2 linked regions of the Notamacropus eugenii genome follow. The protein of the gene in region 1 purifies or fractionates together with the protein of each later gene. This does not show direct contact. Links are inferred from orthologs where the notes say so. Each region holds a gene or a part of one and is shown in the gene's direction. Other genes may lie near its edges.

Region 1 (6,991 bases):
AATGCCACTTGTGCGTCAGTTATCACGATATTTCTAATAAAAGGAAATTTTTGGTTCTAAATTATCAATACAGTACTTCTGTTTCCACCTTTCATTTAGACATAACCTGAGATCAATGTGATTTGGACCATGAAATGATCTGCCTTAAGTTTCCGGTTACTAATTCATTCAAACTTTACCTAGCCAAGAGAATCTTGCCAACTAGGATAATTAGAGACTGATAGCAGTCTGGACCTTTCGAGTCAAATTTTGAAGCAGGTCTCCAGACATCTGACCAAATCTCTGTGGACCAAACCTGAATGTTATTCTCTCATTCTCCTACCTTCCCCATCCTTTTATGTAGAACATCAGAATAGATGGAGGAGGTTTGATCAAAGGAGGACTTTGCCACCTTATCCTTTCTTTCCAAAGAAATCTTATTAAAGCAATTTCCTTTGTTGCAGCCTCACGATTACTAATAGGGAAACAAGTTTGCCCACTTTGAGGAGAGCCTGTACCTGAGTGGATCAGGGTTCTTCATGTGATGGTATTGAAGCAAGGCTTGGCCTTTCCTGTCTCTGGTTTCCTAACACACAAGGCAAGAGATGAGAGGGTGAAAAGGACAATTAAGGAAACTTGGTTCCTAGCGTGGGTTCTGGAATGTGCCTGGCCTCTCCCAATGGCAGGGGCAGAGTTAAAATCCTATCTGTGAGCACCCAATGATGCACAAATTTCCCAGGTAATAAACAATCCTTAACTAAGCGCTGGCTCTAAAATTATACCAATTTAAAAATAACCTAATTGGAATAACAAACATATGAATGAGGTTCACACGCTGATGTTTTCACTAGGGACAAAAGGAGCCTTTCCTTAGGATTCTCTTTCTCCCAGATTCCTAGCAGCCGCCCATGTGTCGTCTCTGACCTGTCCTCTTGATCTGCTCCTGTCTGTGCCTCCTGTCAGGCTGTGCTCAGGAGTGTTAGTCTGGTGATTCCCAAAGCAAAGAAAGGAACAGCTGATGACAGACAGGGAAGTAAAGGGAGGTGACTCCTTATTAGGGATTAGCATCTGCTTATTTCCAGTCCGAATGCTGTTTCCCGTCATCGTGATTCCTGCTCTGCTGCTAGTGGGTGCGCTTGGTAGGAAGACAGGTAGGAGGTTGGGCATGAAGTAGATGGGGTCACGAGGGTGGTGACGTCAGGGAAGTTTCAGCTCTGTTCTCATTGTGCAATAATACTGTCCTAATGATTTTTTTCCCTGTAAAGTGTAACTGGTGTCTCTGGCCTGCTCTGGCTCTCACAAGCCACTTTTGTTACCTCTGCTCCCTACATCTAGGTTTCCCTCACTATGACCCCCTGCATCAAAAGAAGTTGGTAGTTCCTAAGGCCATGGGGGACAAAGTGGGAGTCTGTCCTGGAAAGAACCTTCTAAAGCAAAACAAGACTGTGCTAATCAAACTCAGGAAAGGGCCTGGACGGATTTCAGAGGCATTTGTACTTTTAAGTCTTACTGGCTGTCCCCCATGCTGGGCATGCTCTCCGTCCATTCTGGCTGCTGACCTCCCAGCTTCCTTTAAGTCCCAGCTAAAATTCCACCTTCTACAGGAACCATCTCCCAACCCCACTTAATTCCATGGCATTCCCTCTGTTAATTATTTCCTCTTTATCCTCTATATAGCTTGCTTTGTACATGTTTGCCCATTGACTTCCCCTTTACACAGTTAGCTCTTTGAGGGCTGGCCTGGATTGCCTTTTGCCTCTTTTTGTATGCCTAGCACTTGATTAAATGCTCAATGGATACGGAAGGGATTTAGAGACCATCCTCTCCAATCTCGTTATTTTACAGATAAAAGTGAGGAGGAATTCCCTGATTTATCCAAGATAATAGAAAAGAGTCCTCTTTTGAACCTAGGCATCTCCTCCCAACTTCAGCACCCTTTCAATCCATCAATCACTAAGCTAGGCTAAGTACTGGGGACAACCTGGTCTCAATTCTCCTGACATTTTCTTCCCCAACAATTCTTGGGATATGTTTTTTCCAACATGTAACTTTCATCTCCTTCCCAACTGTTGACTTGGGTGTAGAGGTGCCTTCTTGAGGGTTTCTCAAGAGGCACATGTGTCTGAAGAGCTAAGAATGAGGTAGAAGGGCCCACAGAAGTTGAGGGTGGGAGTGATCAGGCTGTGGGAAGGTTCCCAAGAGTCAGCCACAGCTAATTAACTCTACTTCCTTCAGCAGAGAAACTCCCAACCTGTAAAGGAGCTGAAGAGTATTGAAGGCTTTGCCCTTTAAAGAATGCAAAAGGCTAGCCCTCTGTAGACTGATCAGTCAAAACCTGAAAACAAATAATGATCCTGGAACTCATTACAATGAATCACAGTCTGAAAGATAATGTGTAATTATGTAGCAAACATGTTTCTGAACATGAACAAGAATATTGAAATCCTGGATCTCAGGAGAGACATTTCATGCTTCCCAGAAGGGGCTGGAGGAAAAGACTTGGAGGTGCCTGGGAACTCGGAGGTTCCAGGATTCTCTGAACAGGACAGTTCCCTCCGATCCTCGCTACATGACTGGGGCCAGGGCAGGCGTTTTGTATTGTGATTTTTTCACTGAATGTTATTTCATGTGAAAATGTCCACTCTCTGCCCTACTGGTCCATATGTTTGTTATTTTTACGGGACGTGTGTGCGTCCCCCACATGTCATCACCCTCAGTATACCCTGGTTTCCCTCGCTCTGGCTTGTTGCCAGTCACTCTGCTGCCAGGCTCCCTGCCATCCTGGAGGAATCAGGAGCTCCTTGAGGGCAGGGGTTGCGACTCTACCCTTGGCCCGGTTCGCGTTCGGGGGACGTCCCGTGCTGAATCGGAAATCGCAGGGAGCTGTGCCCAGCACCAGAGAAAGGAGGAGGAGGCACCCCCGGGAGGCTGGGGAGACTCGGCGGCACCCGGAGAGAGCTTCTGTACTCCGCCCCGAAGCATCGGTGGCTTTGGGAACCACAGCGATGGGCGCGCTGGGTACCCTGCGCCCCACCGAAGCCTGGGGAGGACCAGGAGGTCCGCGGCGGCCTCTCCGCACCCGGGCTGGGGCGCAGCCCGTGCTCTGGTCCTCCTGCTGGGGCGGGATGCGCTGCCCACGGGGGGCGGGGGGGGCTGTCCACGGAGAGGGAGCCCGCTGCCCACAGGGGGCGGGGGCGCTGCCCGCGGAGAGGGAGTCCGCTGCCCACGGGGGGCGGGGGCGCTGCCCACGGAGAGGGAGTCCGCTGCCCACGGCGGGGAGTCCGCTGCCCACGGGGGGCGGGGGGCGCTGCCCGCGGAGAGGGAGTCCGCTGCCCACGGGGGGCGGGGGGCGCTGCCCGCGGAGGGGGAGTCCGCTGCCCACGGGGGGCGGGGGGCGTTGCCCACGGCGGGGAGTCCGCTGCCCACGGGGGGCGGGGGGCGCTGCCCACGGCGGGGAGTCCGCTGTCCACGGGGAGCGGGGGCGCTCTCCACAGAGGGGTTCTGCTGTCCACGGGGGGTCCGCCGTCCCCGGTTTCGGACTCTGGCCGCGGACTGGTCAGTTCCTCTGACTTTTTCCTGCTCTCCCTTTGGTCATTTGCATGACTCCGAGGGGATGCCGAGGAACAAACTGCATCCATAAAAGTTATTTTTCTAGGAGTCTCCCTCGGAAGTCTGGCCGCGATCAGAGGAATGAGGAGGGTTGGAGCTCCCGCCCGGGTGCCATCCATGGCGCCTGGGCTCGGCTGCTCGGGCCTGGAAGCGCTCGGAGCTCGGCGCGCGCTGTCTGGCCGGACGCCGGGCGCTCCCGGCTCGGCGCTCGGCTGCGCGGCCTGCTCGCTCGATGTCTCCGCAGCAGCGGCAGCGGCGGCGGCGGCGACGGCGGCGGCGGCGGCGGCGGCGGCCGGGGCCGGACCAGGGTTGAAGGCTCGGCCGCGTCCCCGCGCTCAGACCCCTCCCCCCCGCCGCGCGCTCCCCCCGCCGCGCGCCCCCGCGCCCGCCCCTCCCCTCCCCCGCCGCCCGCCGGCCGGCTCGCGAGCCCAGGCCCGGCCGTCGCCGCCGCCGTCGCCGCCGCCGCCGTCCGCCCTCCGAGGGAGGCAGGTAGGTAGGCCCCGGGCGAGGGCGCGGGCCCGGGCGGGCGGCCGCCTCTCTGTTCCCTCCCCGGTAACGTCGAGGGAGCGGGGGAGGGGGGCCGAGCGACGGCCGAGGGCCTTTCAGCCCCAGCTCCGTTCCCGGGGAAACTGAGGCCCCGAGGGAGGGCGGGGTCGCCCCGAGTCTGCCCCGGGGCCTGCGGGCCTTCGCCCCGGCCGGCCTCGGCTCCGGCCGCGTGCTCTGCGCTGCCAGCCGGGAGGCCGCAGGCCCGTGACTGGGGGCAGGGGGGCGTCTCGGCCCTTCGGTGCCCGGCGACCCCCCATCGCCGCGGCCTCGGTGGGGGGAGGGGGCCTTCCCGGGGGGCCGGCAGCCACGTGCTCCCGGAGAGCTTCGGGCACCGCGGGGCTCTGGGCCGAGGTTGGCACGCTCCGGATCCGGATCTGGATCCGGATCATCTTCCTGTAGACGGAGCTGTGAGAGGCCCCGGGAGAGGTCTTGGGGAGAAGGAAGGGGCGGGGGGCCGTTTTGGTTGTCTGAGACCGGGCCCCCGCGGCAGGCAGGGCGCGGGGGCCCCCCAGTCGGGGGGTGGCCGCACAGCAGGAGGCAGCCGGGCCGAGGATGGCGGCTGGCGCGGGGTGCTGGGGGTGCCGCTGAGGGGGATCTCCGGAGGGGTGTCGTTGGAGTAACGGCGGCAGACGGCCCGGGGTCCGGTGCGCACCGGGAGTGAGTCTAGCTTACTTTGCCGGCGTAGCTGGCGTCTGTCTGTCCGGGGCTGAGGGCGCTGCTCTGGGGCCTCCCGGGGGGGTTGGGGGGCTTCGGGGTCCGGTGCGGGCAGAGGCGGTGCCCCCGTGTGAGCGCCCGCTCCGGAGGGGCCTGGGACTCCCCACAGAGCTGCGGGGCAGGGGCTTCTGCCTCGGCCCCCAGACTGCGGAAGGAAGCGAAGTGCCTGTCCGGTCGGTCCGTCCGGTCCGGTCCGCCCGGTGCCGGTCCTCCGGGCCTCGGCTTCCTTCTCTGGGCACTGAGCGGTCCGGGGATTCCCGCAGCCTGCAGCCCCGCCTCCGGGCACTGTGCTAAGCCGGCCGTTCCCCCTGGAGGCCAGAAGCCGCTTCAGCCGGCCCTGCCCCGGAGCGCCGTGGGGCAGGGCTGTCACGGCCCGGGCAGCGCGCGTCTGTCCCGAGGCTCTTCCGTTCCCCCAGACTCGGGATCCTCGTCCTGTTCCTCGCTCTTGTTCGGGGGCTGTCCCGCGCTCTGACGTCATCCTCTGGGACTTGGGGGGGCTAGCTGCTTCCTCCAGGCCTTCCACGCCTTCTGACCCGGCTTGCCGTGAAGTCGGGGTCAGTTCTGGAGGGCAGGCAGCAGGTGTGGACGGTCCGCCTGCCCCTGGACCTTGAGGTCTGCGGGCCTGAGCGGTGGGACGCCCCAGCGAGCCCGCTAACCCTGACGCTCCGTTGTCCGAGGCGGTGGGAGCTGAAGGCTGCGGCCTGGGGAGGGCCCGGGGCCGGCCGTGCCATCTGCGATCCGACCGGCCTTAGCAGGCTGCCCTGTCGGCCCGGCTTCCAGGGACGGGGACATCTCCAGCCGCGTCCGTCATTGAACTCCCCTGCCTCGATAGCGCTCTCTGTCACCTGGGCCAGTCCGCAGAGAGCCGGCTGGAGGCTGAGTCTGGGCAGGCTGCTGGACCTCAGTTCCCCTGTTTGTGGGATGGACGTGAAGGCAGTGCCCGCCTCCGAGACGAGGCGGGTGAGGACCACTCTGCCAGCCCCGGTGCACTGAGTCATCGTTTCCGTGTAGACGATGCTCAGCTCTGCACACCCTTCCTCAGCCTCTCTGCTGGCTTCCTGCCTTGTGCCTGCCCCTGCCTGCTGCTCTGGGATGGGCATCTTCACCCCCTCTCTGTCACCGATAGGCCCCGGCGGTGCCCTCCAGTCCTGTGGTCTCTCCCCTCTCCCTCCACGCGCTGCGGATCTTACCCTCCGGTGGGCTTCCCTTCGTGCGCACCCTCCCTTCTCCCAGGTGGTAGTCCCGGCTCCGGCTCTCATCCCCGCAGCTCTTGGCCGCCTCCTGAGCTGTCAGCCCTGTTTTCCCAAAGGATGGGTCTCCTGGTGACACCCCTCCATAGGGAAGCCTCCTTCCAACCTCCTGACCTCCCCCACCCTCTCTGCCGGCTCTTTGCAGTTTCCCGGACTGTGTCCGCGCTCCGCACCCCGACCTCCTGGCTTCTCTGGATTCCTTTCAGTTTCTGCAGGAAGTTCTTCCCAGTCCTCCTTAATCCTTGCGCCTTCCTTTGGAGTTCGCCTCTCAGTCTATCTCGGACTCAGTGTTGTCTGCCCCCAGAGAGGCTTCCCTCGAGAAGGAGGATCGTTTTTGCCTTCCTCTGTATCCCCCACAGCGCCTGGCACCCAGTAGATGCTTAATAGATGTTGGTTGACCTGGCATCTCCCCAGAGGAGACGTACAGATACATAGATAGGTCCGTGCAAAGCAGATACAGAAGAGACTGGAGGCAGCTTTGGAGACTGAGGACGAAGAAGCACTTCCTACAGAAGGTTCGGCTTGAACTGAGTTCTGAAGGCAAATAGGGATTCTCAGAGGCAGAGACAAGAAGAGAACACATGCCGGGCATGGGGGACAGCTGATGGACGTTAAAGTGGTGGGGGGCAGGGTGATATTTGAGGAGAAGTAAGAGGGCCAGTCTGGTTGGACCCTGGAGAGGGAGAAGAGGAGCAATAGGCAATAATTCCGGAAAGGAGTTTTGAATACCAGACTGAATCTTCTGTTTGATCTTGAAGTGATGAAAAACCACAGGATTTTATTGAGTAGGGGAGTAACATGGTGAGACCTACGCTTTAAGAAAATCTCTTTGGCAGCTGTGGAGGGTGGTGGATTATAATAGGGAAAGATTGAGGCAGGCTGATCTAAGGAGA
Region 2 (7,696 bases), on another chromosome or scaffold:
ACATAGAATACAACAATCTCTAAAGAATTAAAAATGAGTATCACACAGGGATGTGGAGTGGTGCATGGTAGAAAGGACAGGAATACAGAAAGACAGTTATAAAAGATGTCATTAAAAAATTGTATGAAAAGAAGAGACAAGCTGGAGACATGGTGAGAAATGATAGGTGGACCACCATGAGGTCAAGAGAAAGTGAAGGCCACTAGTATGCTGGGTGGCATCTGCTTTAGCAAATTTATAGAAAAACACAAACAAGAGTGACAACATGGCAGAGGCATAGGATAGATTGCAATCTACATCACAAGATTGCAAATTGAGGAGACCACAGATCCATTTAAGTATTTGAGTCTGCCAGCTGAAAAAGTTAATATGACCTTTGCATTAAAAAAGGTAGTGTCAAAAAAGTGAGAGAGATCGTTTGCAGTGGTCAGACCACATCCAGAAAATTATGTTCTAGATGCTATATTTTAGAAAGGACATTCAACTCAGGCACTAAAACCCTGTGTGACTTTGGGTACTCAATCTCTCAAGATTTCTCTTTCCTTATGTGTAAAATGAGGAGAGTGGGTTGGGTGACTTCAAAGGTCCTTTCCAAATCTAAACAAGAGGCAATTAAAACCATGAAATAAAAGAATAAGTTAAAGGAACCAGTGGTGGAGGAGCCTGGAGGACAGGAGACTTAGGAAGGAGGGGAATAAATGAGGGTTGTCTTCAAGTATTTGAAGGGCTATTTCTCCCCAGGTAGAGGGATTAGGATTGTTCTGCTCGACCCCAGAGGGCAGAATTAGAGGCAATAAAGGTGGAGGCTACAGACAGGCAGGAGACAGAAGTTGCAAGGACAATGGAGGAGAAGCAAATAGGTAGGAAGAGGACCAGGAGAGCATAAGATCATGAACGCCAATCAAGAAGGTAGTGGTAAATAACAATATCAGAATCTCCAGAGAGGTCAAGAAAGACAAGGACTTAGAAATGGCCATCAGATTTAGCCGTTCAGAAATCACTGATAATCTTTAAAAGAATAGTTTCAGTAGAATGCTGAGATTAGAAGCCAGATTGTAAAGCTCTGAAGAGTGGGTGGTGAGACAGCAGTGGCATTAAGTATAGAGGTTTTTGCTTTTTTGCCATAGCATGAAAGCAAATTAGAAAAATGGATCTTCAGATCTGTGGTACAAAAAAAATGCCACTGTATCAGCCCACCTCCTCACCACACAAGTGTAATGTCTGCAAAGTAACATTATTTATGATACTTTTCCAAATAAAAATAATACTGCATAGCCTGTGTTATTCACAGACCCCGAAATTCCATTAATGTCAATTGAACAGTTAGTTATAATGTAGCTTTAACTGGTAGTTACACAGTTGGGAGGAAATATAAATAGCATCCCTTGGTTAGCATTTCGATGCTGAAGACTGTAATGACAATAGTTACATAAGGCCGTATCTACACTGTACCAAGCCACAAAATTGGGAGTTGAGGGGGCAGGGAACAGTAAATTTCTGAACCTATTTTCAAGAGTGAAACTTTGCCCCCATGCAACAAGTATGACTCCTTCAAGAAACTGGTCTGAGTTTTGCTCTTACAAAATGATGCTCCCTTTAGACTATTCAGTTACCTTGTAAATACGAATTCTTGCTCTGAAGAGGGCCCAATGAGACCTCGAGTGAAATCAGTGGAGCTCTATCACCATAACTAGAATCGTAATTCAAGGAAAACAGTCTTCTGAAAAATCAACTCATTATATAACATCCTGATGTAATAAGAGAAATAGAGGCTGAAGTGGCTATCACTCACTTTGACCTCTGCTCCAAAAAATGTTTAGTTCTAAGTTTTCAGGCAGCATAAAGCAATGGAAAACATCACTGGGTAAAGAATATGAACAAACAATATTCAAGAAAAGAAATGCCAACTACTAAGTGTAAGAAAAAAGTTCCAATTAATATGAGAAATGCACATTGGCCTAACTCTGAGCTTTCACCTTTACAACCATCAAATTGGTAAAGATGATAAAATTAACAAGTATTTATTTTACACCCATTATGTGTCACCCATTGTACTAAACACTGGAGATTCAAAGAAAAATAAAGGTCTCTATCCTCAAGATACAGCCAGTGTTGGGGAACTGGACTGTTTAGCTAGAAGGTAAGCCAATTAATAGACTTGGTAACTGTTCTGGAAATCAATTTGAAATTATTTGAGAAAAGTTACTAAGTTAATCAATATTCTTCAACTCAGATATCTCACTATAAATGACACAAAATTCCCATACATACCAAACTATTTAGGGCAGCGCTTTTTGTGGTAGTAAAAAATGAAAATGAAGTATGTATCTAATACCTGGGGAATAACAAATTGTGTTATATGAACAAATTGTGGTATATGAATGTAATGGAATATTACTGTGATGTCTCTGTACATAGGTGAGGAAATTCCCCCTACAAAAGCAGCAACTTATCCAATTTATGGCCTGGAGTTTCTTCTTGTTGCTGTTCAAGTAGTTTCAGTCCCACCTGACTCTTCCTGACCATATTTATGGTTTTCTTGGCAAAGATACTGGGATAGTCTGCCTCTCTTCCTTCTCCAGCTCTTTTTACAGATGAGGAAACTGAGGCAGACAGGGCTACACAGCTAGTTAGTGTCTGAGGCCACATTTGAACTCAGGAAGATGAGTCTTCCTGACTCCAGGTCTAGTGCTCTCTCTATCCACTGGGCTACCTAGCTGCCCAGGGTGTCAGAGATCAGGCTTGACCAAATCTTCCTGGCTTTTAAGGCCAGCTCTCTGTTCACTATCCCACACTGATTTTCCATACTGCATTTCTATACTTTATCTTCAGCAGAGTCAGTGAGCTAGTATTTTCATATGAAGGCAAAAAACAGCAACAACAACAAAAACCCAAACCCATGAGCTGTAACAGAGAAATGAAAGGTGGGGGGTGGGATGGGGATTGGGCCCTTAAAAATATCTCAGAGAGAAGACTGGAGTGAAGAAGCTACCAGTCATACTTCTTCAAAAGGGGAAGGAGGTTTCAAAACACAATGGTAAACACTGTAATATATACTCTGGTCAATTCTTTTACAGAAACATTTCATACGTCCTGATTTTCCCCTCAAACATAGAGACCTGGGATTAGCTAGCAATAAATTAGGGCAGAGATTCAAACTTCTGCCTAAATGTTAGGAATTTTCCTTTCTAGGAGCTCTTAGGTATTAAGATATAAATTCCATAAAACAACAAAGGGAGAGAAAAGACCTAAAAGAGTAAGAGACCTAAGGGATATTATATAGTCATTAGGCTAAAATTAATCACTTGTTTTTAGAATGCGGTTGATCATATCTCCAGAGAAAGCCAGTATGGAAGAAGGTTGAGCTCTGGCAAAAGATGCCATCCTAACCCCTTTTTCCCTCTCCCCCCACAAAAGACGTAGGAGAGATTTAGCTGTGCCCCCATGTATCAGGGAAGACGGGAACAGAGAGGAGGGGGTCCTGGCCAAGGGTCACTACCCACCATAACTAAGGCCCGAGTCAAACCAAGCACCGGCAGTCACCGTCCGACGGTGTTTACTCCTTGTTCTCGACCCCAAGCCAATCCGCAGGGAGCAGCTGCGGAATTCCGGGGCTCAGAGAGGAGCCGGCCTGAAGGGTCCGGAAGCGCCAGGGACAGAGAGTGCGCCGGGATTTGGGGCTCCGCCACGATGCGGGACGTCCAGGCAGCGCTTTAGGAGCTTGGGCCGCGGGAACGTGCGGCTTAGGGCGCGCACACACGACTCCATAAAACCGCATCGAGGTTCGGCGACACAGACACCAGCCGTGCCCCTCCACAGCCGCGATCAGGGCCGATGTCACCGCGCTCCCTGCAGGGCCAGGCCGGTCAGTCACTCTCTTCCGTTCCGAGTGGGGATGAGCAACAGACAGGCGTGGGGTTCAGTGACTGGCCGGCGTGCCACCTCTCACGGGCCCGGCTCAGGGACAGACACACGTCGGGGCTCCGCGACACTCTCGGCCCCTCCCCCCACCCGGCCGAGGCTCAGAGGCAGACGCACGTCGGGGCTCAGTGACTGTCTGCCCCTCCCCCACGAGGCCGGAGCGGGTGCCTCCTCTCTGCCCCTCCCCCCCGGGGGGGGGTCGCGGTTCAGTGACACGCTCCCCGCCCCTCCCCCCACCCGGCCGAGGCTCAGAGGCAGACGCACGTCGGGGCTCAGTGACTGTCTGCCCCTCCCACCACGCCGACGCTCAGTGACACCGAGACTGACAGCCGTCGGGGCTCAGTCACTCACACACTCACACACATACACACACACATATACACATACACTCACACTCACACTCACACACACACACACACACACACACATACACACACACACACGCCGAGATTCGTTGACACCCTCCCGCCGGCCCGGGCGCGGTGGCACCGCCGTCGCTCCCGCGGGTCACGGCCGGCCAGCGTACTTGCCGGGCCTTGCCACCTCGGGGGCCCCGGGCCCGCCCCGCTGACGCCCTGGTTACCCGGCTCCGCGTCGAGTCCTGGGGCTCTGGCCCTTCTTCCGAGCCGAGCCGGCGGCCGTGGCAGGAGAAGCCGCGGCGGGGCGGACGGAGGAGCCCCTGCCTCCAGCCCACCCGGGCGGCCGCCGCCATCGGCATCTCCTCGGCCCCGCCTCGGCCGCGCCGCTTTACGGCAGTCTCGTAAAATGGCGGCTGCGGAGGAGGAGCCGGAGAAGGAGCAGGAGCCCGGGAGCCGGGGGCCGACCGTGTACTCGCCCAGAGGTGACCAGCGAGCGGCGGAGGCGGCGAGGCAGGGCTCCATCTGGCCGCCGGGGCCGCCCCCGCCTGGCGATCCGGGGCAGTGCCGACGCTCGGCCTCCCGGCCGCAGGAGGACTCCTCTGGCCGCAGGGGGTGGGTCAGGCCTTCCCAGGGCGGGGGTGGGGGGCGAGGGAGGCGGAGCGGGAAAGGGGAGGAGGAAAAGGAGGGGCAGGAAGAGAAGGAGAGCTAGGCCGGGCTGCGGGGCCGGGGCCCGGGCCATGGTGGCGCTGGGACGAGTGAGGGGCGGCCGAGCCAGACGGGACGCTTTCCTTTCAGGGTCCGGCTTGAGGTGATAAGAGCCAGGGTGAAGGACTCGGCGGTGGTGACCGACTGCTCGCTGTGGCCCCTCCGGAGCGAGATAGAGGGGTATGTATCCCTCCTACCAGCCCCCACCCCCACCCCCGGACCGGGACCCCCCGCGGTGCCCTGCCGGGCCGGGACCCATCCTCAGTCTTCTCCCCACCCTTTTTTTTAAACCTTCCCTGACAGGCCATTGTCTCTTTTTGTCACCCCCCACAAACTCCCAAAGGCCAGCCCCTCTCTTTTTACTCCCTCCATGTTCCTAGAGGCCGATCCCCATTTTTTCACTCCCCCACATCCCAGGATGCCTTCCTTTTCTCAGATCCCCTCACAGGCCGGGCTCCCCTTCCCATGCCTTCGGAATCCGGGCCCCCGCTTTTTACTTCTCTACTCAGGGTGGGCCCCCCCATCCTTCCCTCCCCAAGTCTTTAGGTCTCTTAGCTTTGGGGGGCCTGGAAGGGGTGTCTCCTCACTATCGTGCCTCCCCACACAGAACCAGTTCTTTCCCCGGTGCTGCCCCCCCCCCCATGACCTCCTTCCCCATGGGAGGGAATGGGGTCATCGATTTTTAACTCACCCCTTAGGAGCGCTGCCGAGAGCCTCAGGAAGGTCCGAGGTCTCCCCTCCCCCATGGCGGACCCTATTGTGAGGTCAGGGCCAAGTCAAGGCCTGAGATCCCCTGGAAGCCAGGCAGCCCAGCCCAGGAAGCCAGGCCGTAGAAGGTGGCCGTAGTGGCCGGTCCCCTGAGCCCTGTGCTCCTTTCAGAACTAGCCGGGGCGGGGTGAAACAGGATGCAGCTTTGCGCTTTGACACCTAACCCGTAAAGGGGCTCATCCATCTTAACGTAACAACTTCTGGAAGCAGACACAGGGGCCTGGCCAATTCCAACACTGCTCAGCAATTTAACATCATTTCTTTCCTTCTGGGTAACTCGAGGAGACCATTGACGTGGTGACACCAGGAGCCCAAGGTGGGAGGTGGCACCTGGTCCAGATCCTCATTCACTTCTGCCTCCCTAAAATTTTTTAGTAATTTTATGGCCCTGCTCTCTGTAAAGCCAATAGGAAGTTTTGAAACTAGTGTTTGTGAGTGAAAGTTCAATTGGCATTAGTTATATTTAAATTAAATAGCAGCACTCTGTCCCATGTAGACCTGATTTGGAGGGAGGGGGGAAATGGCTGTCGTGGAATTTAGAACTGGAAGAGACTTTGGACTTAGATCACCTAATCTACCTCTTCTCCCTTGCATCTTATAGATGAGGAAATTGAATGAAACCCAGAGAGGGAAGTGAAATAATTTACCCAGAGTCTCAGAAATAGGTAGTAGAACCTAGGATCCAGTCCAGCTCTTCTGACTTCAGATATTGCCTGCCTTTCCACTAGTGCTGAATGTTTCAGCCTTGCCAGATTTTTAAAGATAAGGTTTTTGAGATTTTGGAGTGATGGTAGGAAGAAAATAGAAAATCTGTAGATCAGCTAATGATCCTAGGGAATAAGAATTTAGCAGAAATCTGATGTCGGTATTTGGTTTTTGTTTGGAGGGGTGGATCTTTCCTTAAATAGCCTAGTTCTTATTGTTACATTTTCTTTGTTGGGAAAAGGAGGGCAAAGGGTGATTAGATCAAAAAAGGAGTTTTACTTACCTTAAGTTCTCTTTTTTCAACCATTTAACTTTTTAGTGTTATATAAAACAAAAGGAAAGAGCAATTTGATGGCTTAAAAAAACTTTGAAGAGTAGAAACTAAAAGAGTAATGATGTTAAAAAGCTTTTTGTGACCTTTTTTAGTAAGTTGTGCCTTAGTTATTTATTACAGTTGAAGATATTTGAGATACATTGCCCCAGCACCACAGAGCAAACATGTGGCATAGAATCCAAGTCTTCTTGGTTTCTAGTCTCGGGCTCAAAGTATATAATGTAGTATATGATTATTTTTCTAATTTTATTGATTTAGGTAGTTTGGTAGGTTTTCCTCTATTCTCCTCGTGGTATGAAAATTTTCAAAGGCAAACTGGCAGGATCTGCCAAGCAGAAATAGCTTCAAATATGTGCCAGCTGACAGGCACTCTGCCTGTTACCTGAGGAACATCCTTGCTAAGTTCAGATTGTCTTCAGGGTGATGAATTTTGGGTCTTCAGCTGCTCTAGAAGATTTCTGCTTAATCATTGAGGGATTGCTATATGTTGATGAAGGAGTAGCCACATCAAAGTTATGGATCCTTGAAATGTACTCTTGTGAAATGTAGCCAGATTTAGGCAACTTTTGAAATAGAAAGCTAACATAATACTGCAATGTAAAGAATAAGTGGAAGAAATGAAATTATTTTAAAATGAATTAATGCATGACAACTATTCCTGTTCTGTAAAGACATTACACTGAAATAACTAATCACTTTTCTCATTTTTTTAGCTCTTGTGGAACTGAACCAAATAAAAGTATGGATATGGGAAATCAACATCCTTCTATTAGTAGGCTTCAGGAAATACAAAAGGAAGTGAAGAATATTGAACAACAAGTAATTGCCTTCAGTGGTCTCTCGGATGACAAGAACTATAAGAAACTGGAGAGGATTCTAACTAAACAACTTTTTGAAATTGACT

Evidence for each region. Proteins that work in one complex are often made in the same cells at the same time.
Region 2: the proteins of AMBRA1 (region 1) and BAG5 purify together in Homo sapiens (affinity purification with mass spectrometry, with the first as the bait; 3 studies listed by BioGRID). This does not show direct contact. The link is inferred for Notamacropus eugenii from reciprocal best matches to the Homo sapiens genes AMBRA1 and BAG5.

The regions. Positions count from the first base shown.
Region 1 is NC_092877.1:4,222,774-4,229,764, forward strand, and holds the start of AMBRA1 (activating molecule in BECN1-regulated autophagy protein 1), read left to right. Parts: upstream 1-3,974; 5' UTR 3,975-4,077; intron 4,078-6,991. UniProt on the Homo sapiens protein: Substrate-recognition component of a DCX (DDB1-CUL4-X-box) E3 ubiquitin-protein ligase complex involved in cell cycle control and autophagy.
Region 2 is NC_092872.1:349,349,286-349,356,981, forward strand, and holds the start of BAG5 (BAG family molecular chaperone regulator 5), read left to right. Parts: upstream 1-4,686; coding exon 4,687-4,892; intron 4,893-5,057; coding exon of another isoform or gene 5,058-5,075; coding exon 5,076-5,165; coding exon of another isoform or gene 5,166-5,225; intron 5,226-5,431; coding exon of another isoform or gene 5,432-5,509; intron 5,510-5,738; exon of another isoform or gene 5,739-6,069; intron 6,070-7,505; coding exon 7,506-7,696. Other genes in the region: COA8 (cytochrome c oxidase assembly factor 8), read right to left, coding at 4,505-4,879, 5,058-5,225, 5,432-5,509. UniProt on the Homo sapiens protein: Co-chaperone for HSP/HSP70 proteins. It functions as a nucleotide-exchange factor promoting the release of ADP from HSP70, thereby activating HSP70-mediated protein refolding.